7 linked regions of the Mus musculus genome follow. The protein of the gene in region 5 interacts with the protein of the main gene of each other region in a biochemical or structural test. Links are inferred from orthologs where the notes say so. Each region holds a gene or a part of one and is shown on either strand. Other genes may lie near its edges. The genes, in order: Gnaz, Snx9, Bag3, Echs1, Lrrk1, Tcf25 and Bag2.

What was found.
Region 1: the proteins of Lrrk1 (region 5) and Gnaz form a complex in vitro, tested with the Homo sapiens proteins (2 studies listed by BioGRID and IntAct, with this or other methods). The link is inferred for Mus musculus from reciprocal best matches to the Homo sapiens genes LRRK1 and GNAZ.
Region 2: the proteins of Lrrk1 (region 5) and Snx9 form a complex in vitro, tested with the Homo sapiens proteins (2 studies listed by BioGRID and IntAct, with this or other methods). The link is inferred for Mus musculus from reciprocal best matches to the Homo sapiens genes LRRK1 and SNX9.
Region 3: the proteins of Lrrk1 (region 5) and Bag3 form a complex in vitro, tested with the Homo sapiens proteins (2 studies listed by BioGRID and IntAct, with this or other methods). The link is inferred for Mus musculus from reciprocal best matches to the Homo sapiens genes LRRK1 and BAG3.
Region 4: the proteins of Lrrk1 (region 5) and Echs1 form a complex in vitro, tested with the Homo sapiens proteins (2 studies listed by BioGRID and IntAct, with this or other methods). The link is inferred for Mus musculus from reciprocal best matches to the Homo sapiens genes LRRK1 and ECHS1.
Region 6: the proteins of Lrrk1 (region 5) and Tcf25 form a complex in vitro, tested with the Homo sapiens proteins (2 studies listed by BioGRID and IntAct, with this or other methods). The link is inferred for Mus musculus from reciprocal best matches to the Homo sapiens genes LRRK1 and TCF25.
Region 7: the proteins of Lrrk1 (region 5) and Bag2 form a complex in vitro, tested with the Homo sapiens proteins (2 studies listed by BioGRID and IntAct, with this or other methods). The link is inferred for Mus musculus from reciprocal best matches to the Homo sapiens genes LRRK1 and BAG2.

The regions. Positions count from the first base shown.
Region 1 is NC_000076.6:74,965,776-74,969,976, reverse strand, and holds the start of Gnaz (guanine nucleotide-binding protein G(z) subunit alpha), read right to left. Parts: upstream 2,801-4,201; 5' UTR 2,595-2,800; intron 2,555-2,594; exon of another isoform or gene 867-2,554; intron 1-866. UniProt on the Homo sapiens protein: Guanine nucleotide-binding proteins (G proteins) are involved as modulators or transducers in various transmembrane signaling systems.
Region 2 is NC_000083.6:5,839,893-5,844,123, reverse strand, and holds the start of Snx9 (sorting nexin-9), read right to left. Parts: upstream 2,801-4,231; 5' UTR 2,590-2,800; coding exon 2,578-2,589; intron 1-2,577. UniProt on the Homo sapiens protein: Involved in endocytosis and intracellular vesicle trafficking, both during interphase and at the end of mitosis. Required for efficient progress through mitosis and cytokinesis. Required for normal formation of the cleavage furrow at the end of mitosis.
Region 3 is NC_000073.6:128,522,271-128,526,382, reverse strand, and holds the start of Bag3 (BAG family molecular chaperone regulator 3), read right to left. Parts: upstream 2,801-4,112; 5' UTR 2,525-2,800; coding exon 2,339-2,524; intron 1-2,338. UniProt on the Homo sapiens protein: Co-chaperone and adapter protein that connects different classes of molecular chaperones including heat shock proteins 70 (HSP70s), e.g. HSPA1A/HSP70 or HSPA8/HSC70, and small heat shock proteins (sHSPs), e.g. HSPB8.
Region 4 is NC_000073.6:140,109,922-140,113,421, reverse strand, and holds part of Echs1 (enoyl-CoA hydratase, mitochondrial precursor), read left to right. Parts: intron 1-288; coding exon 289-486; intron 487-875; coding exon 876-1,003; intron 1,004-1,626; coding exon 1,627-1,726; intron 1,727-2,778; coding exon 2,779-2,883; intron 2,884-3,315; coding exon 3,316-3,435; intron 3,436-3,500. UniProt on the Homo sapiens protein: Converts unsaturated trans-2-enoyl-CoA species ((2E)-enoyl-CoA) to the corresponding (3S)-3hydroxyacyl-CoA species through addition of a water molecule to the double bond.
Region 5 is NC_000073.6:66,262,842-66,266,341, forward strand, and holds part of Lrrk1 (leucine-rich repeat serine/threonine-protein kinase 1), read right to left. Parts: intron 2,701-3,500; coding exon 2,584-2,700; intron 56-2,583; coding exon 1-55.
Region 6 is NC_000074.6:123,394,211-123,397,710, forward strand, and holds part of Tcf25 (transcription factor 25), read left to right. Parts: intron 1-1,340; coding exon 1,341-1,500; intron 1,501-2,796; coding exon 2,797-2,884; intron 2,885-3,500. UniProt on the Homo sapiens protein: Component of the ribosome quality control complex (RQC), a ribosome-associated complex that mediates ubiquitination and extraction of incompletely synthesized nascent chains for proteasomal degradation.
Region 7 is NC_000067.6:33,754,951-33,759,229, forward strand, and holds the start of Bag2 (BAG family molecular chaperone regulator 2), read right to left. Parts: upstream 2,801-4,279; 5' UTR 2,742-2,800; coding exon 2,629-2,741; intron 2,617-2,628; exon of another isoform or gene 2,455-2,616; intron 1-2,454. UniProt on the Homo sapiens protein: Co-chaperone for HSP70 and HSC70 chaperone proteins. Acts as a nucleotide-exchange factor (NEF) promoting the release of ADP from the HSP70 and HSC70 proteins thereby triggering client/substrate protein release.

The sequences.
Region 1 (4,201 bases), on a different chromosome or scaffold from region 5:
CACACACATGGACGCGCGCGTGCACACACATACACACACACACACACTCGTGCACACGCATGAGCACTCAGACTAGCTAGACTGAGGATACACTCCCCCAAGAAGACTCCTTCTCAGCAGTTTCTCTGCAGGGGCATCTTGGTAGCGGTGTCTGTATTTAGTCATCCAGATACTGCTGGATCCCCCCATAGGATCCGCAGGATCTCTTGAGGTATAGATGAGATACTTTTTTTTTTTTAATCCAAAGGTACCAAAAGGTCTAGGAGGTTGGGGACAAGAGAATTAAGAATCTATTCTCTAGGCTTCAAACCCTGAGTTCCATGGCAGGTCCCTGGACTGGGCCAGGCAAGAAGCACAGACCATGTATTTTATAAGGGCAGGTGGGCTGTGTTCTTGCTGGGGCACCCTGAGCCTCAGCCAATATCCTGTGTGTATGTGTGTGGAGGAGGGGTGTGTGTGTGTGTGTGTGTGTGTGTGTGCGTGCATGTGTGTGTGCACATGTCTATCTTTGATGGTGGGCACACTACCAGGATGAGTAAGAACCAGGCCTTCTGAGAGAAACCAAAACCATCTCTGGGAAGAAGGGAGTAGCTAGAGCTAGGGCAGAAGGTGACATCGGCCTTCTATGGGGGAAGAACTATGTCTATTCACAGCCTGTCTCATAAAAAGGAAAGCATCTGTTAGAGGAACACACAGGAAGAGTTTTACAGCAAATGCAAGCATCTCTTCATGTCTAGAGAAGGCAAATGGAAGAGGCGCTGTTTTATCCAAGCACGGGACAACCCTCTGTAGCCTCCTGGGTCCCCTCAATGGCCTTTCCTACCAGAGTCATTTTTTTTTCCAAAACTTCCCAACTCCAGACTCACCAGCTAAAAAAACTGTCTCCTTCAAAGCAGGTGACTTCATCTCGGCTGGGCAGGGGGCTGGGTGGGTTGGTTACCCAGGGCCCTTGGCTCTGCCAGGAACAAGGTGCCTTGCAAGGGCAGTCCCAGGTGGCCAGGAGCCCTCTCTGGTCTCTGAAGTTCTTTCTCTAACACAACTACGCTCCAGGGGTCACAGAACCTTCCCTTTTATAGACACGGAGGCTGTGGTCTCCACCGAGACAGCCCCACAAACATGGTCAGACAGCCATGGTGTGCCTCTGTCCATTTCCCTTCCTGTGCTTTTTCTGGCCTTTCACCCACCCCTCCCTCATCCATGTCCTGACTCCTCCCTCCCTCAATATCCCTCCCCTGCTCCTTCCCAACCCAGCCAGCTGCCCAAGTTCCTGGGCCTCTCCATTCATTCTCTTCCCTCTGCCCACATTGCCCATTCTGACCCTGCCCGTGTCCTTCAAGCTCCAGTTCAAACGTTACATTGCCCATAGGCAGGTCTGACCTGAGCCCGGGGTATCTCTCTCCCAGGCCCCTCCCAAGCCCCCCTGCACTGCACCGAAGGAAGGCCTGGTTATCAGAGCACAGCCCTATTTCCCCCTGAGGAAGGTGAATCAGTCCTGGGAGGGCTGGCCCAGTCCACTCCCACCCTTCCACCTTAGCACAAGCCCTAGGGGAGCCAGTACTCAGTAAATGTTTGCTTAATTGAATCTGGCCAAGCAGCTTCCTCTAGACAGGGGCCAGGTTAGCAGACCTAGATGATGATTCTCAGCGCTAAGAAACCACTTGGGCAGAAAAGAGTGTCAAGGCTCAGGGTCCTGCCCCAATCTCCTCCACAGACAAGGCGACATCGTTACCAGGCTGGTCCCTCCACCCTGAGACTCACACTCCAGGGAACCCTGGTCTCACTTGGCATTGCTTTCCCATCCTCCTCTCTGTAACAGGATCCCCAATTCTCGGCCTAGGCAGATTCCTGCCATCCTCCATCCAGATAGGCTCAGCACCTCCCTAAAGGCAGAGCCCCCATAGATTCACCGCAGGATCCGGAGCAGAGGCCCTCACACCCCTCCCCAAACACCCCACCGCCTTTTAAGGGAAAAAATATTGAGCCAGGAACACATTACAATCGCAGCAGGTCGATACTCATCTCTGGCTCCAAATGCCTCCAAGGAACCTGCTCCGTTGCAAGAGCGATGACCGAGAACAGCGAGCTGTTGTACCGGGCCTCAGGGCCCTCTCTTCCCGTTTTTATTTTTTTATTTTTTTACCCAAGGCCAAGCTCCTGACACCTGCGGCTGCCTGTACCCCTGGACCCCCGGAGAGAGACCCCCCGCCTGGCGTCGCTCCTGCAGATCGCCCGCCTGCACTCCGCACCCGCTCAGGGCGTGCAGTGGTCCCACATCATCCTCTGCACCCCCTGCCCAATTTCGTCAGGTGGCAGCCACCCCTTCCAAGGGTTACTGGGCCGCCGCTCCTCCCTCCCAAGGCACCTGTCTGGGCCATAGCCACCCCCTGCCCACCTAGCAGACAACCCCACCCCTAGCGGGCTCTCCCACCCGGAGGGGCATCCCTGCCTCTGCACCCCTAGCCCTATAGATCTCGGGTCCCCAGCACAAAGGCCCCAGGCCCCGACCCGGGTGGGGGTGGGGTGCGCCCCAGCCGCGCCCCCAGCCCCGGGTTCAGCTGTGCGCGCCGGGGCCGCTGGTGCGCTCACTCACTCACCTCCCGGGCGCGGCTTCGTGCGTCGGTCGAGCTGCACCCGGCGGGGCGGGGCCGCGAGCGTAGGGCTGTGGCGCCCTGGTTCTGCACGAAGCGGGTGCCGGCGGCCGCGCGAGGACGTGACCGGTCCGCGGGTGGCACACACGCTCCGCCGCCCTGGCTCCCTCCTCCGCCCTCCCGCGCCGCCTGCAAGCGGGTCCACCCGCCCCGCACCGCGCCGCCGCCGGCAGGGGGCGGAGTCGCGAGCGCAGTCCGTTGCCAGGCCAACCGCGGGCGGGGTCTGCCGCTTGTCTGCCCCGCACCACGCGCTGCCGCCCGACCACTAGCTCCGGCTCGTTTTCCATTGGGCGATAACTGCCGACGGACGTGCGAGTAGTCCAATAACGACAGACAGGGGAGGGGCGCGGCTGTGCGCGCGCCGCCTTACCGCACGCGCTGCTGGCTCCAGCTACTGTGGCACTGCACTGCGCCGAGCCTTCCCGAAGCTACTTCTAGCATCTTGGGAAACCCACCTTCAGAGCAGTGTAGCCCCGGTTCCTTGCACGCTGGCTTTCCTGCCCTACCTCAAATGGGGTTCGAACTCAGCCCTGGCAACCTATTCTCCCACAATGTCTTTTTGCAAGGTGCTGTCGTCCAGGCTTCCTTGGATAATGTCAATAATCCTTTAGGGCGCGAGAAAACCCTGATGGGTTAAGCTGGAGAGATTTCGCAGCATATGGTTCGCCCTCTCTTCTGCTCTCCTTTTTTAGCATGTAGGGGCACTTCTGGGAGTCGACCCCCGCAACAGAGAGAAGCCGAAGGGTCCCAGATCAATGAAGCCCCTGACCTCTTTGGAAACTCCCCAGGAGACATCAGATCTTTGACAAACGAACCTAGCTGTGAGATTCTACTCTCATCAGGAGGAGTCCGTCTGTGGGTCTTGGCTGGTAGTACCTTACTCCTGTACAAGAAAGACTCAGGCCAGGTGCCACCACAATAGTGCCTCTCTGCCTTCTCCATCCTTGTAACTTTAAGCATATGTGCCTTAGAGCCCAGGATGAGATGGGGAGCCATGACGATAATGTTGGTGCTTGCCAGCTAGACGCTCCAGAGGCAGGACAACATCACACCACTTTCCGTGGGATTGTCTCAATTGTGCAGTGGCTGACTGTTGTACTGCATACCCCAGGTAGACAGCCCACCTGTGAAAGGGCTGCCTAAACTTTTAGGGATGGGACCAGGTACTGGTTATGGGTACTACTGAAGCCAGTCAAGACACCTGTCTTGCTACAGTGACCAATAAGGACCGAAGGACTTTTGCTAATGGCTAAAGAGCATTTCTACCAACTCATCCGGCTGTGCAGCCAGTCTGTCACTGGAACCTGGCTGAGAGTCAGTCTCCTAATCTGTCAAAAACTGTACTATCGACTCTTCAGAGGGTTAATGTATGTAGGAAATACACCTTAGCAAGTGATTTAGGCTGGGCAGAGGCAGTTTCTGCAGCAGGTTCAGGGGGCAGAGTTCATCCTTCTGCTGAGGGTAAAACCAATGTAGGAATTACATTTGACAGTTGAATTTGCAATGGAACTTACAATATTCCTGGCGAGGGAGCAGAGGCTAGTCCCTAGACA
Region 2 (4,231 bases), on a different chromosome or scaffold from region 5:
TGTTAAGAAGCATCTAACACAGGTCAAGACTGAGACACTCTCAAGGCCTGTAGCCCTGTTTGCTAAATAAGACATGACTGGACTCTAAGCTGTGTGCGAACTTAAGCAGAGCTCAGCAGTCTACTGAGGAAAGATTAGAAACGAAACCCAGATGATCCCTTTAAAGCATATAGTTACTGACGAATTGTCTTTAGCAATGAAGATCTGCCCAATTAAAGCTCTACACAATTTTTTTTTCTATTATGACTCTACCAAAAGCTCTTAAAAGTCATGAGAATTCAGGGCTAGCGAGATGGCCCAGTGGTTACGGAGCACCACTGCTCTTGCAGAGGAACAGGATTTGGTTCCTAGAATCCACGTGACTACTTACGACGGTCAGTTGACTCCAGTTCCAGGGAATCCAGATCCCTCTTCTTGGAACAAAACACCCATACACATAAAATAAATATTTTTCAAAATAATCATGTGACTTCAGAGATAAGTGTATATTCAAGAAAATATTGTAAGAACGACTTAGACTAAAACTGTGTATGGGAGAATTAAAGCCATTTTCCCATAAGCACTAAGGCAATCCCAACCCTACCAGCTGTCCACGTGATGCATTCATTTCCCAACACTTAGCTCTTATAGCAAAAGCCTGGGCACTACTTGGGCTTAAACGTCATTGAGTCCATCATCAGTCCTTGCTAAGTACACCTGACCACCTACAGGGTTCAAGGAAGGGAAGAACTCCAACTCTTCAGCTGTGGGGAAGGGAAGAGGTGTGTCTTTCAGGGACCAACTCAAAAATGAGCTTTGCTTTGACACACAAACGGAGAAAAGCGCAGAGGAGTTCCCTTTAACGAGGCTTTCCCAACCAGCCCCTTTCTTCAGAGGGCAGTGGTTTGTCCTCTGGTCCACCTGGGGATGCGGCCTCTTGGAACTGTGATTACAAACTAGGGAAGGGCACCAACAGGCAGCCAGGAGAGCTGGAATTTGCCTTCAGAAGCAGATAACAAGTAGGAAGTGCTTACACAGGTAGTGAGGCAGTGTGCAGAGGGGTCACAGGCACCTCAATTTCAGCCCAAGGACAGCCGTGCTTTTTCACTGGAAACATAAGGCTTCGCCACCATCAAATAAAACTTTTTCCTCTGCTTGGATATATGCATTACTTGCTAAGCTGAAGTAGGCATGCATGCCTCAGATCAGTACAAATATTACAGAATAGGGTCTATGTCACAAATCATTGTCAATGTTGCAAGATAACTCTGTAATTGAATTTTCAATTTCTGAAATGTCTAGGCAACAAACCTCAAAAATCCTCTGCTTAAATTAGGTTTCATCTCCAACAAAGTTTGTCACAATATAAGTATATTGAAAGGTAGGTAGTTGTCTTATATCTAGGAAAACCAAGCAACAACTGCTCAGATATACTACTAACAAGGCAATTATTTCAACAGTAGCAGTAGGTTTCTGAAGAAGCTTCATTTACATATAAACACTACACCTAGACAGAGTCAGGACAGAGAAAATGAATTTTTCTGGGCCCCAACTTCAACAGACTAAATGAAATCAGGCACTTCTGACCTTCCAAATTCCTTAACACTTTCCTATACCTTCTATAAACACCCATCTTTAAAAAAAAAAAAAAGTTTTCATCAAGCCAGAAGTAGCTTAGACGTGTCAAAAATAAATCTGGAAAAGGCACGCTGTTTGTAAAGGTGACATAATCAAAGCTCCGAGTACCAGTCTGTCTGCTACCCGCACATCGCAGGTCTATCAGAGGTTCACCTATGGTGCCTCCCACCCCAGGTCCTCACTTCCAAGGCTTAGGCTTTTCCCGGTGGCTATTTCATTCCCAAGTGACTACTGAAACCGCACAAGAAAAAGGAACAGGAGAAACTAATTTTTGTTGTTGTTGTTTTGTTTTTGCAGACTCAGATAGCAAAAACGGACTGCTAATTTCACAAACAATAACAAAAAAATAAGCAAACCAAGATTCCTGGCCATTTACCAAGCAGGAACCAAAGTTCCACTAAGCAGTTGGGGCCTGGGCCTTTTATGTTTTCTTTCTTTCTTTTTCTTTTTTTTCTGCCGGCAAACACGTAATCTAAAAGCACAGTCATTTCCCTCTTGATACTTTATTCGCTCCGAAAACGTCCCATTCAAACAGAAAAAGCCAGCCAAAACCAAAAGGAAAAAATGAGAGCCTGGAAGGCAGTGGACGCGGAGGGAGCGTGACTCCCGGAGGCTGCAGCGTCCTCCCCGCCCGGCTCGAGCGCCGGGCTGCCGTACGGAGGAAGGAGGCAGGCGCCAGGCTCAGTGCGGAGCGGCAGCGTCCGAGTGGCCCGCGCGCTGCTCCGGGGCTACGGGAACTCCGCGTGCCGGGGCGCCCGTCTCCGCTCAGGTGCAAACTTTGCGGAGCCGCCGCCGCCCAGGGGGAGCGGACCCCAGCGCTCGGCGTGACCCCGCTCTGGTGCCCGAGGTCGCGGGGTGAGGGGTGGGGGGAGCTCGCGAGCGACGCGTCGGGGCGCTTCGGCCTCGCCACGGCGCCGCGGAGCCGAACGGCCGGTCCGGCCTGCGCCGCGCGCCCCTCACCTTGGTGGCCATGGCGGGCGGTTCCCCGGCCCCGGCGGGCCGGCTGGTCTCCCGTGCTGCGGAGCTTCGGCCCTAAGCGGGCGGGGAGGTCGACTCCGTCTGCGGTTCGGTGGCTGCGGCCCGGCGCGGCGGCTCCGCCTCAGTCCTGCTCTCGGCGCTCCGGCCCCCGCGGCTCGGCGACTCCCGCCGCCGCCCGCGCCTGCAGTTCCTGAAAGTCCCGGCTGCGCGGCCCCCGCCCCCGCCGGCCAAGCCTCCCATGGACCGCGGCGTGCGCGGCGGAAGCGCGCCTGGGGCCTCGGCCGCAGCCCGGCCTCCTCGCCCGCCCCGGCCTCCGCCCCGACCCCGCCGCCCGCGGCTCCGAGCGCAGGGCCCTGGCTGGAGCGGCGGCTGCGGGGTCGGACGGGCGTCGGGGTCGCGGCCTGGTCGCCGCCGCCGCCGAGCCGTTCGCTGGGCGCGGCGCCGAGGGGGGCTGTGCCTCAGGCCCGGCTCTCTGCGAGCCGGAGAACGGTGATCCCCGGGAACTGACGGGAGCCACCCGCCTGGGATCCCGGGCCCACGGCGGGGCTTGCTGAGGGATCGGGGTGCTTGGGGGTGACTACTGCGAGCGCCACACGGACAAGCCAGCCCAGGGCGAGCAATGGCTTCCTGCATCTAGGCTGCATGGGATTTCTCGGAGGCTGTGATCTGGCCTGGGCTTCTGGGCCTGGACGCTTGGGGACTCCACCTGAGATGACCCAATTCTGCCCTTTGGATTGTTTAAAAATGCCTCAAGAAGTTTGAGGGCGCAACAGGTTTCCTTAAGTTAAAAGAGAAGCCCGAATTATAACATCTTTGATTGAGAGTAGTTTGTCTGCAGTTGGATCTGTATGGGTTTTATTAATAAACGAATGGTTTGAATTGATCGATGAGACTTTCACAAAAGATGAGACTGGAAGATTTACCTTAATCAGTGCAATAGTTTAATGCAGTTGTTTATAATAAGGATGCATCTTCTAGACAAATAAAATCGACTCTCTTATCCCAGGAAGTTGATATTTAATTTTACTGTCAAATTTGTAGCTTCTAGGACTGGGGGTGGTAGAAAGAATGACACATAGGTGTTTGCACCCCAGCACTGGGGAAAAAAAAATGTTTTTTTTTACTGACCAGAGAATTTGCAAGTTACAGCCAAAAATAGTGTTTAAGTGGTAATTCAGAGTTTTCTGTGGATGTTTGTGTGTATCAATGCTATAGTCAGGCATGGAAATATTCTTGTGTCTGTGTGTGTGTTACTGCTAGCTAGTGTCATGTCTACTTGACAAAGGCTAGAGTCATGTTAGAAGTAGGGGACCTCATCTAGGGGAAAACAAAAACAAAAAACACCAGATTGACTTTCAGTCATGCCTGTGGTGTATTTTCTTGATTATTAAAGGTGTGTGAAGGCCCAGCTATGTCGCCCAGCCCACATCTGTGCTGGTGGCCCTTGTTGCTGTAAGAAAGCAGGCTAATCAAGCCCTGGGGGACAAACCAGTAAGCAGCTGCCCTCCATGGCCTCTGCATCAGTTCCTGCCTTCAGGTTCCTGACCTGAGTTTCTGCCCTGATTTCTTTCCATGATGGAGTCTGACACAGGAGCGTAAGCAAAATAAACTCTTTCCTCACCAAGTTGCTTATCAT
Region 3 (4,112 bases), about 62 Mb from region 5:
GGTGAGTTTTTGAAAATACCAAACAATTTATAAACTCTTTACTGCTTTTATTTTTTTCCAGAAAGTAATAAGTTAAGAGTATTTCTTCTTGTTTTGTTTTGTTTGTTTGAGGCAACATTTCTCTATTGACTAAGCTGGCCTTGAACTCAGAGATCCACCTGCCTCTGCCTCTGAGAGCTGGGATTAAAGCTGTGTACCACCAGGTCAGGCCCAAAGTAGAGTCCTATTTTTTTTTTTCTTTTTTCCTTTTTTAATTAGATATTTTCTTTATTTACATTTCAAATGTTATCCCCTTTCCTAGTTTCCCCTCTGAAAACTCCCATCCCCTCCCCCCTCCCCCTGCTCACCAACCCATCCACTCCTGCTTCCTGGCCCTGGCCTTCCCCTATACTGAGGCATAGAACCTTCACGGGACCAAGGGCCTCTCCTCCCATTGATGATAGAGTCCTATTTTAAAGTGCATTTACTTTACCAAACTTTTCATTTTGAAAGGACCAAATGTACATAAATTATTACTGAACATTATGCTAAATATGACTTCTGTTAACTATATTTTCAAAGATCCTACGTGGCCGGATGGTGGTGGCTCATGCCTCAGAAAGCAGAGGCAGGAGGATCTCTGTGAGTTCCAGGTCAGCCAACACTACACAGAGAAACCCTGTCTTGAAAAGCAAAGCAACCCAAGGAGCTGAAGGGGTTTGCAGCCCCATAGGAGGAACAACAATATGAACCAACCACTACCCCCAGAGCTCCCAGGGACTAAACCACCAACCAAAGAGTACACATGGAGGGACTCAAGGCTCCAGCCCAATATGTAGCAGAGGATGGCCTTGTGGGAAATCAATGAGAGGCCCTTGGTCTTATGAAGGCTCTGTGCTCCAGCGTAGGGGAATGCCAGGACAGGGAAGCGGGAGTGAGTGGGGTAATGAGCAGGGAGGGGGGGAATGAGATAGGGGGGTTTTCGGAGGGGAAATGAGGAAAGGAATAAAATTTGAAATGTAAATAAAAAAATATCTAATTTTAAAAAAAGAAAAACAAAACAAACAAGAAAAATCCTACCTAAATTTGTATTTTTAAGTTCTTCACTCAAAATTCAATCGAATTTTTATTTATTTTTATTTTATTTTATTGGTTTTTCGAGATCGGGTTTCTCTGTGTAGCCCTGGCTGTCCTGGAACTCTGTAGACCAGACTGGCCTTGAACTCAGAAATCTGCCTGCTTCTGCCTCTCAAGTGCTGGGATTAAAGAGGTGTGCCACAACTGCCCAGCTCAATCTTTTTTTTCTTTTTTTTTATAAAAAAAGACAAGGTCTTATTTTGCAACACAGGCTAGTTTCATTCCAACTTAATTACTTAATAACTTTTGAGATAGACTCCGATTATATAGCCCTGGCTAGACTTGAACTCAAGATCCTCTCGCCACAGCTTCCTGGGTGCTGGGATGACAGGCCTGAACCAGGCTGGGCTTCATTCCAAATTTGTATTTTCAATTTTTCTTGCTTTTTAGATTGAAGTACACAAACCTGAATATCTATGCAAATGAAGCATACACCTAGTGTTCACCAGACTCCTCAGCTGTTTCTGGTAACAAAACTCCAGTATTTGAAAAGGACAACAAGGAATCACGCCATTAAAAATACATTCTTTCACTCCAGTGTGAGTCTTAAGGCAGTGGCTAAGTATGGTGATACAATGTCTGATCTTTAGTTTTGGAACTGTCAGAAAGAGTATCTTAAAAAAAAATAGTGGTAGTATCAGAATTTTCTCTAACTGAAAGCAGTTTCGACCAGTAATAATAAGTTTAATGGGGGAAAATAACTTATTTACTCGAGCCTCCTGAGTCACTCTATGCCTAAGATCCAGTAAACTCAAGATAAGCCTCAACTAAGTTCTGAATTTGAAAGTGAAATCCCCACAGGAGACTCCACTCAGCAGCCTTTCAATCCTGGCCGTGCGCCATCAGCACCGGAGGGAGCCCAGGGTCTCAGCACGGGACGCGCGGGACAGAGAGGCGGCGGCCGGGCCTGGCCTGGGCCTCAGCCGCTCATCAGGCCGGTCGCCCTTCCCTGGGACGCGGCGCACCGCAGCTCAGGCCACCACTGCCCTTCGCCCTTCGCAAGAGGCTGTGGAAAACCACCCGATGTCACCACGCGGGTCGCACCCCGCTGGCTACCGTCCAAGGCCACCCTGCCTGCGGCTCTCTGCGGCCCGACGCCCGTTCGAGGCGGATATGGTTAAGGACTCTCCTTGCGCAGCAGGGCGCGGGGTGGGGTGACTCGCATAGCCCTGGCTCGACCAGGCCCCTTCGCCGTCGAGGTGGGACGGCAAGCTCCACTCACCTTAGGGCCCTCGGGGGGCACACGCGGGTCGTTCCACGTCGTGGTGCGGCTGTTGTGGTCCACGAAGAAGGGCCAGCCGGTCTGCGGGTCGATTTTGATCTCCCAGCCCGGGGGCAGGGGGTCTCGGTCGCTGGCTCCGTTGCCGGACGCCATCTGCATCATGGGCGATTGGGTGGCGGCGCTCATGCTGGGTTAGGGTCCGCCCGGGGCGCAGAGCTAGGGCGCGGGTCACGAGGTCGTGGAGTGCGGGCACCTCTGTGTAGCCGATGTGTCCGGGAAGCCGGCGCCGGGCACCTTTATGAATTAAAGGACTGGGTGACGTGGCCGAAGAGGGGTGGAAGTGTCTGGAAATAGCCTCCTAGCTGCCAAAGGGGAAGGAGGAGATAAAGAGAAGGCAGCAACTGGCCGGCTAGAAACTTCTGGTCCCATCCAGAGAACTTGGCGGCCGCCGTGGGTTGGATGCGGAGCTCCGCCCTGAGTCATAGGCTATAATCGCGGCGGGGCGGGACCTTGGGAGGGATCGGAGGCGGGGATTTGTCACCCGCCCCTCCTTCTCCTAGACTACCCAGGCTGTCCCTCCCTATCCCTGTCCTGTGTGTGTCCTGGGGCCTGTGCGCCTCGCGCCAGGTTGACACGCACCGGTGTCCTTGTGCTCTCTGGCTGGTTTCTGTCTCCGGACTCCCCACCACTCTTTCGTGCCGCGTGGGGGTGTCCCGGGGTTAGCAGTCCAAGGGCCGACACCTGGGGCCCCACCTTTGTGTAAGGACTAAATCATCTTTAAACTCGGAAAGTCTAGTTCTTTCTCTCTCTTCACACTCAGTGACGCTGGCGTCCTGCAGTGACGTTTTTAGTAACTTTTTCTCAAGGGCCTTATGACTTCTGAGAAATTCTGGAATGCTGATCTGAGGTCACAACAAAAAGAAAGAGCTGTGGAAACTCACCTGCCTGCTTTGGAAAACTGAAGAAGCAAGGACTAAAGTGACAACTTTGTGCTCTTGGCCTTCTATATAGGCACTTTCGCACAGTGACTAGACTTCAGAAACACCTGGAACCAATACTGAGGCCAATTTCCTGACTCAGATTCAGAGAATGTCCTGGGACCTTCAAAGATACATCTCTGGCCTCTTCCCCTCCGATTTTTACTCTGTGGCAAATACTAGAGGACTCTGCCAGACATTTCCAACAAGCTGATTTTTTTTACTTCCAAAGACCTTCTTACTGACTTTGAAGTCTCAAAGCCTCAGTATAAGTATTAACATAGTTAGCCTTCAGGTACTGCCTGGTGCCACCAAACACACCTGTATAAGCCCAAATGTGGGAATATTGACTTATTATCATTTGATAGTCACATTGAAAGGTCTAGACACTTAGATTCACTCACTGGTCAGTGTCTGTCTTTTGCTTCTTTATACCTGAACCCACCCAGCACGTGGCTAAATCCAGAGTCCATCTTCAATAAAGGAATAAAGATTGATGTTTATTGAAGACTGAATACAAAGTGAATTTTTTCGCTTGTTTTTCAATACAAGGTATCTTTGTGTAGTTTTGGCTGTCCTAGAACTAGCTAATTATGTAGACCAGGCTGACCTTGAACTCACAGAGATCCATCTCTCTGCCTCCCAAGTGCTGGGATCAAGGGCATGTGTCACCACTGCTTGGCTGTGGATATTTTTTTAAAGATATGGTCTATCTATATAGTTCTGCCTCCCAAGTATTGAGATTAAAGGTGCACACTACCATCTACTACGCCTAGCAATGCCCTATTTAAAAAATA
Region 4 (3,500 bases), about 74 Mb from region 5:
CTTTAATCCCAGCACTCAGGAGGCAGAGGCAGGCGGATTTCTGAGTTTGAGGCCAGCCTGGTCTACAAAGTGAGTTCCATGACAACCAGGGCTATACAGAGAAACCCTGTCTCGAAAACCCCCCCCCAAAAAAAAAAAAAAAGAAAGAAAGAAAGAAAGAAAGTCTTCCACAGGTAAGGCTTGGGTGTTAGTTGATTGGCGATGTGGTCAGGTTGATGACCAAGATTAACCAACCACGGTGACTTTAATATCTTTATGATGACACTTCCCTTTGTCCTCTTGACCTAGGTGCTAACTTTCAGTACATCATCACAGAAAAGAAAGGAAAGAATAGCAGCGTGGGGCTGATCCAGTTGAACCGCCCCAAAGCACTCAATGCACTTTGCAATGGCCTGATTGAGGAGCTCAACCAAGCACTGGAGACCTTTGAGCAAGATCCTGCTGTGGGTGCCATTGTGCTCACTGGTGGGGATAAGGCCTTTGCAGGTGTGCAGCCATGGTTGTGGATGGGAGGGGAATGCTAGGGCCTGTGGGAAGCAGCAAAATGGACCAGTTTCTCTGTGATGAGAGGGGTGCCTTAAGATATACTAACCTGTAAAGTAAGCTGTGTGGAAGAGCAGGGCATGTGTTGAACATTCAGGTATGCTCAGTTCCTTACTAGTCAGGTAAACACTGGTCTAAGCCGGTCCTCCTCTAAGTGTACCTGCCACCCACTGCCTGACACAGTCCTCAACATTACCTTCTTAAAACAGATGGCTTGGTGAGTTGTTGGTCCATGTCTCAGCTGTCCCCACTGTGGAGGGAAGTGCCCCCAAGCCTTGAGGACTGAGAAGTTCTTTAATGTCTGGTCATTGAACCCGCACTTCTACCCGTAGCTGGAGCTGACATCAAGGAAATGCAGAACCGAACATTTCAGGACTGTTACTCCAGCAAGTTCCTGAGCCACTGGGACCACATCACCCGGGTCAAGAAACCGGTCATCGCAGCTGTCAATGGTTATGCTGTAAGTGACAGCTCCCCAGGGGCCTCCTGTGCCTTTAAAAGCCAATAGTGTCTTTTGCTATCTGCTTTGTTTGATGGAGGCCCGTTGGCGAGTTCCCAGATGCCTTAGTGAACTTTTCTGTTTCTTTTTAATTGCTGCAGTGGCTAAGCTACTTGTGTGAAGGCTGTGAGTACTCTGTCTGGACGCCCACAAGGGTTCCTGTTTCACTAGGCTATTGAGAAATGCAGCACTAGCTTAGCCCATGGAAAAGCCATGTGATTATTATACATGCTGATTATTGAATAAAAGCCATCCTGGTAGGGTTGGTCAGCCACTCAAATTCATGCTTTTACCCTCTGTGGCTGATTTGGAGCCACTATGCCAGACTGAGTTATTCACCACAAAGCCACAAATATTTACTGCCTGGCCCTTTGCATAAAAGTCTATGCACCCAGCTAAGGGGAGCAACATTACCCTTATGTTTATCCTACCACTTAAATCTAGTTTTGTTCAGCTAAGTTAACATTTGCTCTTATCTGACTCTGTTTCATGGTTCCAGAAAAGTTCTATAAGCAAACAGAGTGGTTTTCTGCCTGGGCTCCTCTGGTCAAATCCAGCTGCTTCTGAACATTCTTATTTTTCAGCTTGGTGGGGGTTGTGAACTTGCCATGATGTGTGATATCATCTATGCTGGCGAGAAAGCCCAGTTCGGACAGCCAGAAATCCTCCTGGGGACCATCCCAGGTAAGAATATGTGAGCTGGGGGCTGGAGAGATGGCTCAGTGGTTAAGAGCACTGACTGCTCTTCTGAAGGTCCTGAGTTCAAATCCGAGCAACCACATGGTGGCTCACAACCATCTGTAATGAGATCTGATGCCCTCTTCTGGGGTGTCTGAAGACAGTGACAGTGTACTTACATATAAATAAATAAATCTTTAAAAAAGAAAGAATAGGTGAGCTGTAGCAGGAGAAGCCTGAGTCTTAGCCTTTCTTGTCCGTTCAGTTTTCTCTCCGCCAACCGGCACCTGAAAGACAGCATATGACACTTAGCGCAGTCTGGAAGCCTCAGGACATGCCCATCTCTCATGAATATACAGATCCTAAATCCAACAGTATCATAAACACAGAGTTTACTGGCTTGAGCCACAATGGTTCTTTCCTGCCCATGATCCACACACCTTTAAGAGCTTTGTATGTCACGAGCTTGGGACAAAGATGAGTAGACTTGGGTTTACACCGAAAACTCTGTCCCATGTGAGTCTGGCTCTGTCCATTCCTATGCCAGTGGCGTAACAGGTCAGGAAGCTTCCCTGAGTTCAGCACAGCGGATTGGGGGATCCTCACTCCCCACTGCCTGGGAAAGCCCTAAGATATGGAGGAAGCAATAGCATTGCCCTCCAGGAGCCACTTAGACCTGGCAGGAGGAGATGAACATTCAGAGAAAGGACTTGAGCCCTCAGAGAAGAGACCACATTCAGAGGAGGTCTCTGCTACTCTCCAGGCTTGACCAGGCTTGACCAGGCTTGTTCTGAGATTCTGAGCAGAGAGAGCAGTGTATTGGTGCAGGCCGACCTGGAGAAGGCAAGGCCGACCTGGAGAAGGTAGACCTGGAACCTTCTTCCATCATGGTGGGAAAGGAGCCAATTTGATTTTTCTTTCTTCCTTTTTAATGCCGAGAAGGATCCCTTGGCCTCGCGCTAAAGCCTCTTCTGTCACTGAGCTACATCCCAGCCCTGGGTTTCTTCTCAGTGTCACCTGACAAAGGGCCAGGTGAGACCTCAGCTCTCTCCCTGTAGGTGCTGGAGGCACTCAGAGACTCACCCGAGCAGTCGGCAAATCGCTAGCAATGGAGATGGTCCTCACTGGTGACCGCATCTCAGCTCAGGATGCAAAGCAGGCAGGTGAGGTATCTGATGCTGGGAGCTGGGGAAGGCATAGGCTGCTTCAGGTGTCCCCGTGGGTAGCTGGTGTTGGAGCCCTAAGGTTCTGTCCTTAGCTTTTATATCTTGAAATACATCATATACCAGAGAGTGGCAACATATGTTCAGGTTAGAAATAATAACAACATCTCTTTCCACTGCCTTTAAAAGCTCTTAAAGGCCAGCCTTTTTTCCTGCCCTTGCCAGTGACCACAGTCCTCAAGTCCTCTGTTCCATTTGATCCTGTAGACAGCATGTGACTGGAGCCCGTCAGTGGAGAGCCCAGAGTCACCCACTGCTGGGGACAGCCATCCCTTGTTAAGGACCCAGGGAACTGGCCTCTCGATGTCACTGGGTTCTAGAGGAAGTGGACAGGGATATTTCTGCATAATACTCAGACTTTTCATGTTTTAGGTCTTGTAAGCAAGATTTTTCCTGTTGAAAAACTGGTTGAAGAAGCCATCCAATGTGCAGAAAAAATTGCCAGCAATTCTAAAATCGTAGTAGCCATGGCGAAAGAATCTGTGAATGCAGGTAGGAGTCTGCGGGGAAGAGGCCACAGGACTGCAGAGGTGAAGTTGTGAGGTTCCAAACTACCC
Region 5 (3,500 bases):
CAGGAAACACAGCCACGAGTCCGTCAGCCAGGCCTGCCAGCACCAGGAAGGAGTTCTGTGGGGGGAAGGGACAGGGACACACAATATTCTTTCATGTCACACATGCGAAGAGAGAAACCACAGACACCAGACTCATCTCTCTATGTGCCTCAAGTGGTCACATGATCTTCCATAGTGCCTCAGAGAAGTAAAGCCTTTGAAATCTTGGCCTGCTCAGGGGTCTCAGGACTCTGTCCAGAGATGATGTAGCCTTGCCCCAGCAAAGCCACACCCACCACTGGTGCTGCAAGGCAAGAGGTAAGCCAGGGAGAACAGTGCCCATAGTGCTGAGGGCATCAAGCAAGGGTGCCACCACCTGGCATTGGTCCCTTGCTGGAGGAGCAGCGGGGAGCTGCCTTTCCTGGATGCCATGAAGGCCTCATGAAAGGCAGGGCAGAATGCTCTCCCTGTTGTAGATAGCTTATTAACATGACAGCTGTTATAGGCATGAGTTCTGTTTATTGCTCACACGGTGGAGAACTCCAGAAAAGCAGGGGGCAGGTCTCTGTGCCCACCACTGTCACCTGGGCACTGCACTGGCACAGGAAAGGGTTAAGTCTGAGACACCTCTGTGGCCCGGGATCCCACTGTTTCCATCAAGTGGACAATCTATGACCCTGGAAGAACGAGCTTCTAGCTTAACTCTCCTGCTGGCATGTCTTGGTCCCATGTGCCCACATCCACACTCTGAAGAGCCTGGGCTGACACTACTGAGGAGTTTGACTTACCACGAAGCACCGTTTCCTCTGTAGCCACCGCCAGAGGTTACTAGGCAGAAGCCAAAGCTGCAGGTACAAAGCCAAATACAGGCTTCCAGGGGTGTCTCACAGAGCAGAGCAGAGCAGAGCAGAGCAGAGCAGAGCAGAGCAGAGCAGAGCAGAGCAGAGCAGAGCAGAGCAGAGCAGAGCAGATACAGAGTGAGTGGGTCAGGAAAAGGGCCACAGAACCAAGTCAGAGTTCATGACAGGACCCCAGCCTTGTTCTATCTAGCCAGGGGGAATGGCAGAAAGCCACTTTGTTAGCAGTCAGGGTGCCTGTGTGGAGCGGGGTGGGCAGCTGTTCAGGGTAGTAGAGTGAGTGGCCTCTCACACAACATCCACAGTAAGGAGCCCTAGGAAAATTTCTCAAAATCCATCTTCAGGATCTAGGTCAATAAAGCAGCCAGAGCAAACAGGCCATAAGTCTTTCTGGATCCTGGCCCTGCTGGCCGGCGTGGGGAACACCACGTTCGGTGGGTTGTGAGCGTGCTTGTGCAAGAATGCACGCACGGTCTGCCCTGTGTGGCCTCCGCAGGTCAACCTCCACGGGGGCAGGCACCCTGCGCAGGAGGCTCACACAGAGTCCGCTTTATTTCCCCTGCTCCGGCAAGACGTGAGCCCTGGCTGGGGCTCTGGCTGTCAGGGCCCTTCAATAATGCTTTGTGTCCGTTTCTCCCAGCCTCTGGTGTAGAGATCCCAGCTGCCTAGGGTGCTCCTGGGGCTACAGTCATAAATGACTGTAAGGTTCATTTCATACCCATTTTCTGTCCCTTTTATAAAGAAATGAAGCTAGATCAGGGTGCAGAGAAAAGCTCACAGGTTTGGCGACATACAAAGTCATAGCAACCTTTAGCTCCAAGTACCCAGCCTGGAACTCTGGGCTCCATAGGTCCAGAGACCTATTTCATTACTCAATCATCCTCATGTTAGGCGGACAAATGGGGACCACATAAGGGCAGGCCGCACATTATAAAAAGCTGTGCTAGGAAGTGATGCTTATGCACTGGTGGAAGGCACGCGTTTTACCCACAGGCCCCTTGTGACCTGATTGGATCCAGGGAAGGAAGCAGAGCTTGGGAGAGCAAGCAGTGCCACCCAACTTCTCAGAGGAGTTCCTGACAGTTCACCAGAAGAGAAGGTGAAGCTCCCGTGTCTACTGTTTGGAGGAGAAGGCCCAGGGCCAGTCAAGAGGTGGCCTTGCCAGCCCTAGTGAGGCTAGATTCCATGCCAAGGTGCGGTGGAGCTGGGGCTGGGGAGCACACTGAGTGAATGGGGTTAGGAGGGCGAGGAAGTGGGTCTGCTCTGCAATGCTGGGCAGTGCTGGGCAGTGCTGGGCAATGCTGGGCAATGCTGGGCAGTGCTGGGCAATGCTGGGCAATGCTGGGCAATGCTGGGCAATGCTGGGCAATGCTGGGCAATGAAGGACTGAGGCCTGGGAAGGAAAGCAAGTCTTTGAGAGAAGGCAGAGGCAGATGAAAGGGAATCAGCTACGCCCACTAATCAGAAAAATCAGTGGCCAGGGCAGAGGAGAGGCTCCTGATGCCTTTATCAAGAGAAGGAGCCACGTGTTTGCTTCATCATCCGCACCAGCGTGAGCCTCATCTAAGCCAGGGGCACTGGCATTTGCTCATGGACGGTAGGCACAGGTTAACGGTGGTTGCCTGTGTCTCTAAAGCTGGCTATGACCTGGGCAAGGTGGCCCAGAAAGGTGTGACTCCACTGTTCTCAGCAAGGAGATCCTCCCACACTTGGTGACAGACCTGAATATGTCCTCTCCCCACCTTACCTTTTTGATAACAGGTACTGCCAAGAAACAGGTGACGACAGCTGGGGTGTCCAGGGCCTGCTGGGGCACGCTTAATGGGCACATACCCTTAAGGCTGTAGATATAGATTTTCTGGTCCTGCAAAAAGCAGACAAGCTCACTGTAAGAGCTAGAGAAGGAAGTGACCGGTATGTCCTATGAGGATGCTTTCAGCCTGGGGAACCCCTTTGGTACCTTTCTAAAGGCAGCATTTTGCTTGCTAATTCATTTCTGCTTTTTGTTTGAAAACTACAGTCTGGAAGAAAGTTAGCTCATAGAGGGTCCTGAGGAGTGGGGGATGGAGCGTCTCAGAAGCTCCCTTCGGCTATGCATGAGTATACCACTAGCAAAGTGGAGTCACGATACAGTGACAGTGTGCCATGGGCAGAGTCCTGTATTTACCCCCTCAAGGATGTATATGGGGTCACCTCCTCTGTTCATCACCTTTAAACATATTTGGTGAATTTATTGTTGCTATAAAGAATTGTATCGGAATAGGTACTCTTAGAGATCTCTCTGTGTATTCTCCTAAAACAGATCGATGAGGCTTTAGTGCCATGGGTATCTATGGGTTTTGGGAGATCTATATACTTCTAAACAGTCATGTCGAAGCATTATGATGTTCCTTCCCCTACTCATAAACCTGGAGCATTTGATTTAGAGCGGTGTTTGGATTTCTCATAGGACAGCCACTTGGATCTTTCCATGACTTCTGCATACAGAGGCAGAAGGTCCTCGGAGATGAGCTATGCTCCATGGCCCTCACACTATTATGAGGAAATCCAGCATGCCATCAACACACCCAGTTTCTCCCGCTGAGCATCTCTACCTATTCTTACTACCCTGAATCCTAGCTTCCAGCTGGTGGCCAGCAGGAGCCAGCAGTGATTCCCCCGGTG
Region 6 (3,500 bases), on a different chromosome or scaffold from region 5:
GACGTCGTGTGGGGCTGCAGGGGAGCAGTCATGGCTTCTGTAGCTGTACGATTCTGATGATAAAGGTTCCCGGGACAGAAGGACGAGGACAGTGTCTCGGTCACTCAGGTGCTCACTGTAGAGAGTGAGGGTGTGAGTGTGGGTATCCAGAGCCCACATAAAAGGCAGGGCACGGTACCGTGGGATGTCACCGAGTTACTGCAGGCACGGGGCAGGGGCATGGCTAGCAGTGGATGAGCTGCAGGTGTGCTGAGAGGCCTTGTCTCGGAACATGAAGGGAGGGAGCCACAGAGAGGGCTGGGTGGGCAGAAGCACTAAGCCCGATGCCCTGGTTTGAACCTTAGAACCCACATATGGAAGGAAGGGGCTGACTTCTGCAGCTTATCCTCTGGCCTCTGCCCACGCGCCATGCTGTGCATACACACACACGTGCCCCGCTGTGCATACACACACACGTGCCCCGCTGTGCATACACACACACGCGCCATGCTGTACATACTCACACACGCGCCATGCTGTGCATACACACACACGTGCCCCGCTGTGCATACACACACACGTGCCCCGCTGTGCATACACACACACGCGCCATGCTGTACATACTCACACATGCGCCATGCTGTGCATGGGTGCATACATACACCAAATACATAAATAGAATTTAAAGGTCAGAATAATGAAATATAATTGCAGAAAGACACCAGAATTGACATTCAGCCTCTGCACTCATGTACACATGTGTGCACCATGCATGCATGCACACTAGAGATGACATATACACGCACTTCTCTCTCAAAACGCAGGAAGAAAGGAGGGCACTGGGAAAGGCTTGTGTTAGGTGGAGTCAGATCCTTCTCTGCTGAATTGGCTTTGTGAGCTTTGTGAGCTTTGTGCTTCCAGAGCTGAGGTGCCTGACCCTAGAAGCTCTGAGCCCACCTGCTGCTGTAGCATCAGTCATCTGACTGGGCTGATCCCTGCCCTTCTGTGTCCCTTTGTCTGTTCTGCATGTAGAAAATGGGGTTTTCAGGCCTGGTGGTAGTGGCACACGCCTTTAATCCCAGCACTTGGGAAGTAGAGACAGGCTGATTTCTGAGTTTGAGGCCAGCCTGGTCTACAAAGTGAGTTCCAGGACAGCCAGGGCTATACAGAAACCCTATCTTGAAAAAAAGGAAAAAAAAAAAAGAATATGGGTTTTCTTATCTTAAGGTCAGAGGCCCAAGAGGAAGCAGCTATGGCATCCTGGCATACACTACACATCTGTAAAGCCCTGCACATCTGTAAAGCATGTGCTTTGTCCTCACAAGCTTGAGGCTCAGACGTCATTTCTTCCTCTCTTACAGGCTCATCGGAACCTGTCCCAGCTCCCAAATTTTGCCTTCTCAGTTCCACTGGCCTATTTCCTTCTGAGTCAGCAAACAGACTTACCTGAGCATGAGCTCAGCTCTGCCAGGCAACAGGCTTCCCTCCTGATACAGCAGGCACTCACCATGTTCCCTGGAGGTGAGTGCTGCCACCTCTTGTGGGTATGGAACTTGTCTTTCTGGGGATTGAGTCTAGATCACAGCCCTCTCCGTGCTGGATGCAGAGATTGCATTCTCCTAAAGACTTGGCTGTAGCTCTTGTTAGACAGTAATTTACAACCTCCAGTGAGCCTACTGCAAGTTTGGTGAGGTGTCGGGGGAGGGGGAGCAATGCCCTCTCTGGGAGTTAGTTTCAGGATGGGAAAGTGGGGCTTTTTCCAAACATGGTGCGTTAAGATAGCCTGTGGTACTAGAGAAAGAAAGCAAAAGTAGCATCTGGAGAGGCCCAAGGCTAGCCCAAAGAGGCCCAAGGCTAGCCCAAAGACGCTTCAAAGGGCCTTGACTATGAGTAGCCAGGAAGAAACCCTGGTGCACTTCCCAGGCGTTCTTAAAATGTGGGGCCAGGAGAATCGGGGAGAGAGAGCGTGCCCAGGTCTTTCCTAAGAGTGCACACAGAGTGGCACTGACATAAGACTCTGTGGCCAGCTGCTCCCTCTGTTAGAAAGTTCCAGAATTAATGCCACATTGTAGATTCTGAGTTCCCCGAGTCTTGGCCAGAACTCTTGCCTACCAACCAGACCTGGCAGCCCCAGGCAGAAATCCTATTTGCTGACTCAGTGAGGGCCAGTTCTGTCACTTAGAAGCTGCCTCTGCCATCTGGCCTGAGGTCGCTTGCAGGGCTTTTTCTGTCGGGGACCAGCTAACTGGGCATCGATTGGTAGCCCGTGCTCTGTGCTGCAGAGTAAGCACGTCTTCCTCACAGCCCGCTGCAGCACGAACATGTCCCCAGGAAGTCGCTGGGACGGCTGGGTCGTGTTCTGGTAGACTACCAGCATGAGAGCAGTTCGGAGATGTTAGCACTTAGTGAACAGCACTACAGGCAAAGAGAGCCAGGTTGGCTCAGTTGGTCATCCGTCGGATCCTGGTCCCTGCAGAGTTAGCTACAGTCAACCCCACTCTCTAGTCTGCCTTCAAGTCTAGCCTTCATATGATTAAAACGTGCAGCCATCTATGCTTGAAGGTGATAGACAAGAAGTATTCCTTGGATACAGATGAGATGACATGCATCCACTTCCCTAGAGTTTAGAGCTATGTTGGCGCCTAGTGTGAGAGACCCAGCCTATGTACCAATTTTGTGATGGTAGTCAGAAATGAGTCCTTTAACTTCACAGCACCCTGTGGTATATATGACAGCTACCTTCCAGTGTCTCTTGTCTTTTGCTGTGAGGCTGGGACAAGGACTGCACAATCCATGGAACCTTTGCTTCCCCTGCAGTTCTTATGCCACTGCTGGAGTATTGCAGTGTGCGACCTGATGCCACGGTCTCAAACCACCGCTTCTTTGGGCCGGATGCTGAGATCAGGTACAGAGCCCTGCAGATGTGAGACTGCGGGTCCTGCTCCCTAGAGCCCTGCAGATGTGAGACTGTAGGTCCTGCTCCCTAGAGCCCTCCAGATGTGAGACTGTAGGTCCTGCTCCCTAGAGCCCTGCAGATGTGAGACTGTAGGTCCTGCTCCCTAGAGCCCTGCAGATGTGAGACTGTAGGTCCTGCTCCCTAGAGCCCTGCAGATGTGAGACTGTAGGTCCTGTTCCCTAGAGCCCTGCAGATGTGAGACTGTAGGTCCTGCTCCCTAGAGTCCTGCAGATGTGAGACTGTAGGTCCTGCTCCCTAAAAGAGGAGCGGATCCTGTCCTGGGGGCTGCCTGCCCAACTAGAGTAGTGGAGGATGGCCCTGGAGCCACACCCATGTGCAGGGTGTTTCTCTTGTATGGGCAGGTGAGCAGCTGCCAGTCTCAAGAATGAGACCCACAGGATGCTTCCTTAGAAGAGTTGTGGGCAGGCCGTGAAGCCAGGAGGCATAAACGTGGGAAGAGAAGGAAGGTGGCGGGGCTCGTGACCGTTAGTATCATGAACTTTTCCAAGATTTCTAGACTGTCACATTTCTCAGAAACAAGAAAAAACACACAGAAAAAGCTGTG
Region 7 (4,279 bases), on a different chromosome or scaffold from region 5:
ATTACAGTGGTTGAAATTACAGTGTACACGAAAAGTGTTCCTTCTAAATTACAGACTGTTACTCCAAATTAAGTATGGTGTCAACTTGCTTCGTGGGTCCTGGAACACTGGCGCATCCGAACAGGAACCTTAAACAGTAAGAAACCAAAGCAGGCGGGTGGCCCGTTTCCCTGGCTCCCGCTGGCAGTCACCCTTTCCTGGCTGAGTGAACTGGAAAGGAGCTGCTCACTGCGGGCGGGATCGGTTTTGGGAGATGTGTAAAGAGCCAGCCTTCCAGCCCTGTCAATCATTTATCCCTCCTTGGCCAATGTCCAAACCCCAGGCCCGGAGCAGCTACTCGATAACTGGCACGTTCTAGGTCTTCAAGGTTTACTGAATCAAATGCTAAATCGATTTTCCCCTCCTTTAGTAAAATCATATTCATTCATATATCAGCTGGACAGTTTGAAAAGTGATATTCAAGACCAGGACAAATGGTGTTGGTCTGAGCAGCCGGTCTCCCCGTGTTCCTAGGCGAAGTCCACTGCTCTGGACTGAGACACACTGTATATATCTGAGCTTCAAGTTCTCATCTGTACAATACAGATAACGGTAACTCCCACAGAGACACGCGGCCTAGCCTACAGACTAATGCTAACGTGGATTATTTACAACCACTGAAAAGTACAGTATTTAGCCTCAGCATGTGCAGAGTCCCCATAGAACTGGTCATGAAAATCAGGAAAGGACAGGATTATCTTTTTAGAGAAAGCACCACAGGAAAGGAGATGTAGTAAAAAAAAAATTTTTTTTAATGTAAGGATATTTTAATGTAAAAATGTTTTTAATTGTAATATTATAAGCCATTAAAAACCAATGGCACCCTTTACCAGCTTGTAAAACTGGGCTAAACATTTAAAAGCATTTTCAATGCCCGGAAGATCAGTGCATCCTGCAGGACAGAAAGCCTTGGGTGTGGTTTCAGTCTTACAAGGGAGCAGGCTTTTGCTGTTCACAGAACCCATTCACCTGAATGGAAGATGCGCACTGGCGACAATCCAGTGATTTCCGGTAGTACCCCGTCCACTGTTGTCCTCAGACGTGTACACTAAGAAAGCTAGGGGGAAGTCACAGGAGCATCGTCCCCATTTTTAAAAAGTCTAATTTTGAATACTGTCATGCTCTGTGGCACTGTCCAGATGGCTTCTAAAAAGGGCCCCTAAGCCTTACCAGGCAGCATCTCTTTCTATTTCTTTGCCCCTTCTGACACACTTACTTCTAAGTGCTCATTACATTTTTAAGGGAGAAACAAGACTTACAGAACTCTGCAGTTACTGGTAAAGGCCTTGAACCATTAAACACAGAAATAAAACCCCTTCAGCGCAACTGTTAATAAGTAACGTAATTTAATCGCTTATGTTTGGTAGTCAGGATTCCTTTGATAGTAATCAGACACTAGAATGTCTATGCAAACTCCAGACTTTCAAGAGGCCCCCAGGAGAAGAGCAAGGACTCGGCACACAGGCTTGATTAAGTAAAGGTTCAGAACAATGACTCAGCTTGAAGAGTCACAACTTCCTGAACCCTTTCAAGAAAAAAAATCGGAGCAGTTGGGAATATACTGTCAAAGGTTAGAGCCTACCTCGCACAAGGAAACATTCTCGCCCCCTTTCACAGCGCAGGTCCCTTTGTCTCCCGGAGTTGGGGGATATAGGGTTCAGGTTTCTTTTGTGGCTACTCCACAGTCAGTGAAAGTTTTCTCACCTTCTGGCTCTTTTCTCCTAATAGTAACAGTAATGAGCGCCTCCCGTGTAACGAACACTGCTTGCATTTTTTTTTTCCTGTGCAGACACACTTCCCTGTGTTTGGTGGCTGCGTGGAGGGAGATTCATCTCCCTCTTATAATTTTGGGTCATAGTGTTCTGCTTACGCAGAACCCGGAGAAAACTAGGGAACAACGTGTGTGTCAGGGCATCTTGATAAGATTTTCATGGAACACCTGCACATGATCAAAACTTGCACAACTTTGAAGACATTAACATTTCCACCAGATACATAAGGCTCACGTGGTTAAAGCCAACCAAGTGTTCACAGCATTCGTTAGTAGTATTCATGAGTTAGAAATTTTACGACAAGGCTGTCCCCGTGTCAGAATCTTAGGGAGAGTGTGACTCCTGCCTTTGGTGTTTTCGGGCCTGCGATTGGCACTTCCAAGGTGTCAGCCGTGTCTTCTAAATGTACAACAAACACGGACAGACTGCAGAGGGCATTGCACGTGGTTGAGAGAATGAAGGATGGTATCCAACTTCGGTGTACCTCGCGCGGTCTCTCATGAGTCCGATTCTCGATGATCCCCAGGAGGGGCCGTCCTGGATACTACCACCCCCCCCTCCCTTACACTTGTATTACTATGAAGTGATCTGGGGCAAAGAAACTTACTCCAGTGTGGGGTGAGGGGGGGGGGGGCACACCAACCTGCTGCCTCCCTCCTGGAAGCAGAAAAGTTAAAGGCAGAGGGGGACCGCGCAGAAGATTCTGGAAGTTCTGCAAGCCGCACTCGCTCGCCAGTCTGCCGGGCCGGGGGAGGGGAGCCCAACCGGAGCGCGCCCCCGCCCGCGCTCGCCCCTGTGCGCGCCCCGCGGCCCTCACCTGAGCTCCAGCTGGTCCAGACTCTCCAGCAGGCGGCTGGAGCGGTCGGCCATGGAAGACGAGCGGCAGAAGCGGCCCTCGTGGGCCTTGGCGCTGATCTTCGCCTGGGCCATGAGCTCCGGGGGTCCTCGGCGTCCGCGGGCAGCAGTGGCGCGAGCCGCACGTCGCCGTCACCACGGGCGCCGCTGACGCGGACGGCACCGCCCCCACCTCCCCGGCTCTCCACCCCCGAGGCCGTGCGGCCAAACAAGGGCAGGCGCGGTCGCAGCCGCGGGCACGCCAGGGTGGGGGACCCTGCCCCGGCGCCCAGGGCCTCGGCCGGTCCTCCCAGCACCCACGGTTCACAGCAAGGACGAAGTGGGTGCAGCCCGTGAGAAGAGGAGACAATCCAGTGCACCCTAGGGCAGTCTCTACTTGTTCGACCTGTCCGGTGACCAGGCAGGCTCGGGAGAGGACAGGGAAAGCCTAGACCACAGGCTCCAAATAAGGAGAAGCCAAGTGGATCCGTGTTGTCTCCCCTTTCCAATGAAAGGATTATTACTATCACACATAACTTGTTTAAACCCTCTGCGAATGATATTCAGTAGGCTTAGATGTCAGAAGCTGCAGAGGTCAGTAGGTCTGAAATACGAAGCCGCATCTTAAAGTTGTGTTTTGTCCTCTCAGTGTACAGGGTACAGAAAATGGGAAACAAAGTACATTTACATCCTTTACCCAGAACTCAAAGCCATTAGATTACTGAACAGAGACAAGCCCCTTAAGTACAGTTTCTAATCCTGTCCCCACCACACCCCGAACACATCTTAATACTAATAAACGGTGGATTATCTTGGCTTCATTAAACACTGTCATCTCACGATACAACCGTGAAATCTGAACATTTTGTGGACATCTTGAAAGTCTGAACTTGGGCAGGTCTCAGGTCTAATGCTCCTCTGGAGGCTGACAAGTTGTGTAACGTGGGCCAGGGTGGATTCAAGGCTAGGCTGGGTAGCTTCAGCAAGTGTCAAAGGAAAAATAAAAGTGGCCGCAGACATAGCTCTGTTAGGTTGGCAACGAGGCCAGGCAGATGTGGTGGTTTGAATGAGATGCCATCTGTGCTCTCTAGCACTTGAACACTGGGGAGGCCTGGGTGTGGCCTTGCTGAAGGAAGTGTATCACTCCCCGTGGGCAGGTTTCAGAAGACCAAGCTATTCCCAGTGTCTCTCTGCCTCTGCTTGGGTTTGAGATCTGAGTGCTCAGGACATGTCTCTGCAGCCATCATAGACTCAGACCCTCTGTATCTAAGTCCAATTAAATGCTTTCTTTTACAAGTTGTCTTGGTGGAGGTGTTTTATCACAGCAGTAGGAAAGTAACTAAAATGGCAGGGATCTTCATATGTTTGTTTAAATGTCTCCACACGTTGAACACGCACAGAGGCATCTCCAGTCTAAGTTACTACGGATATGCTCCTGTCTAATGACACGCCTATGCTCTTTTCCTTATATAAATTATGACTTTAAACTGAGCATGCTTTGGAATAGGCATGTTCCTTCATGAATATGTACAGGATTCCTGAAAGAAAAAAAAAAAAAATCCCTCAGTGCTACCTGAGCTTGTGGAGAGCTTTGCTTTGGTAATGGCTCTGGAACTCTTCCTGCCTGGTGCAGG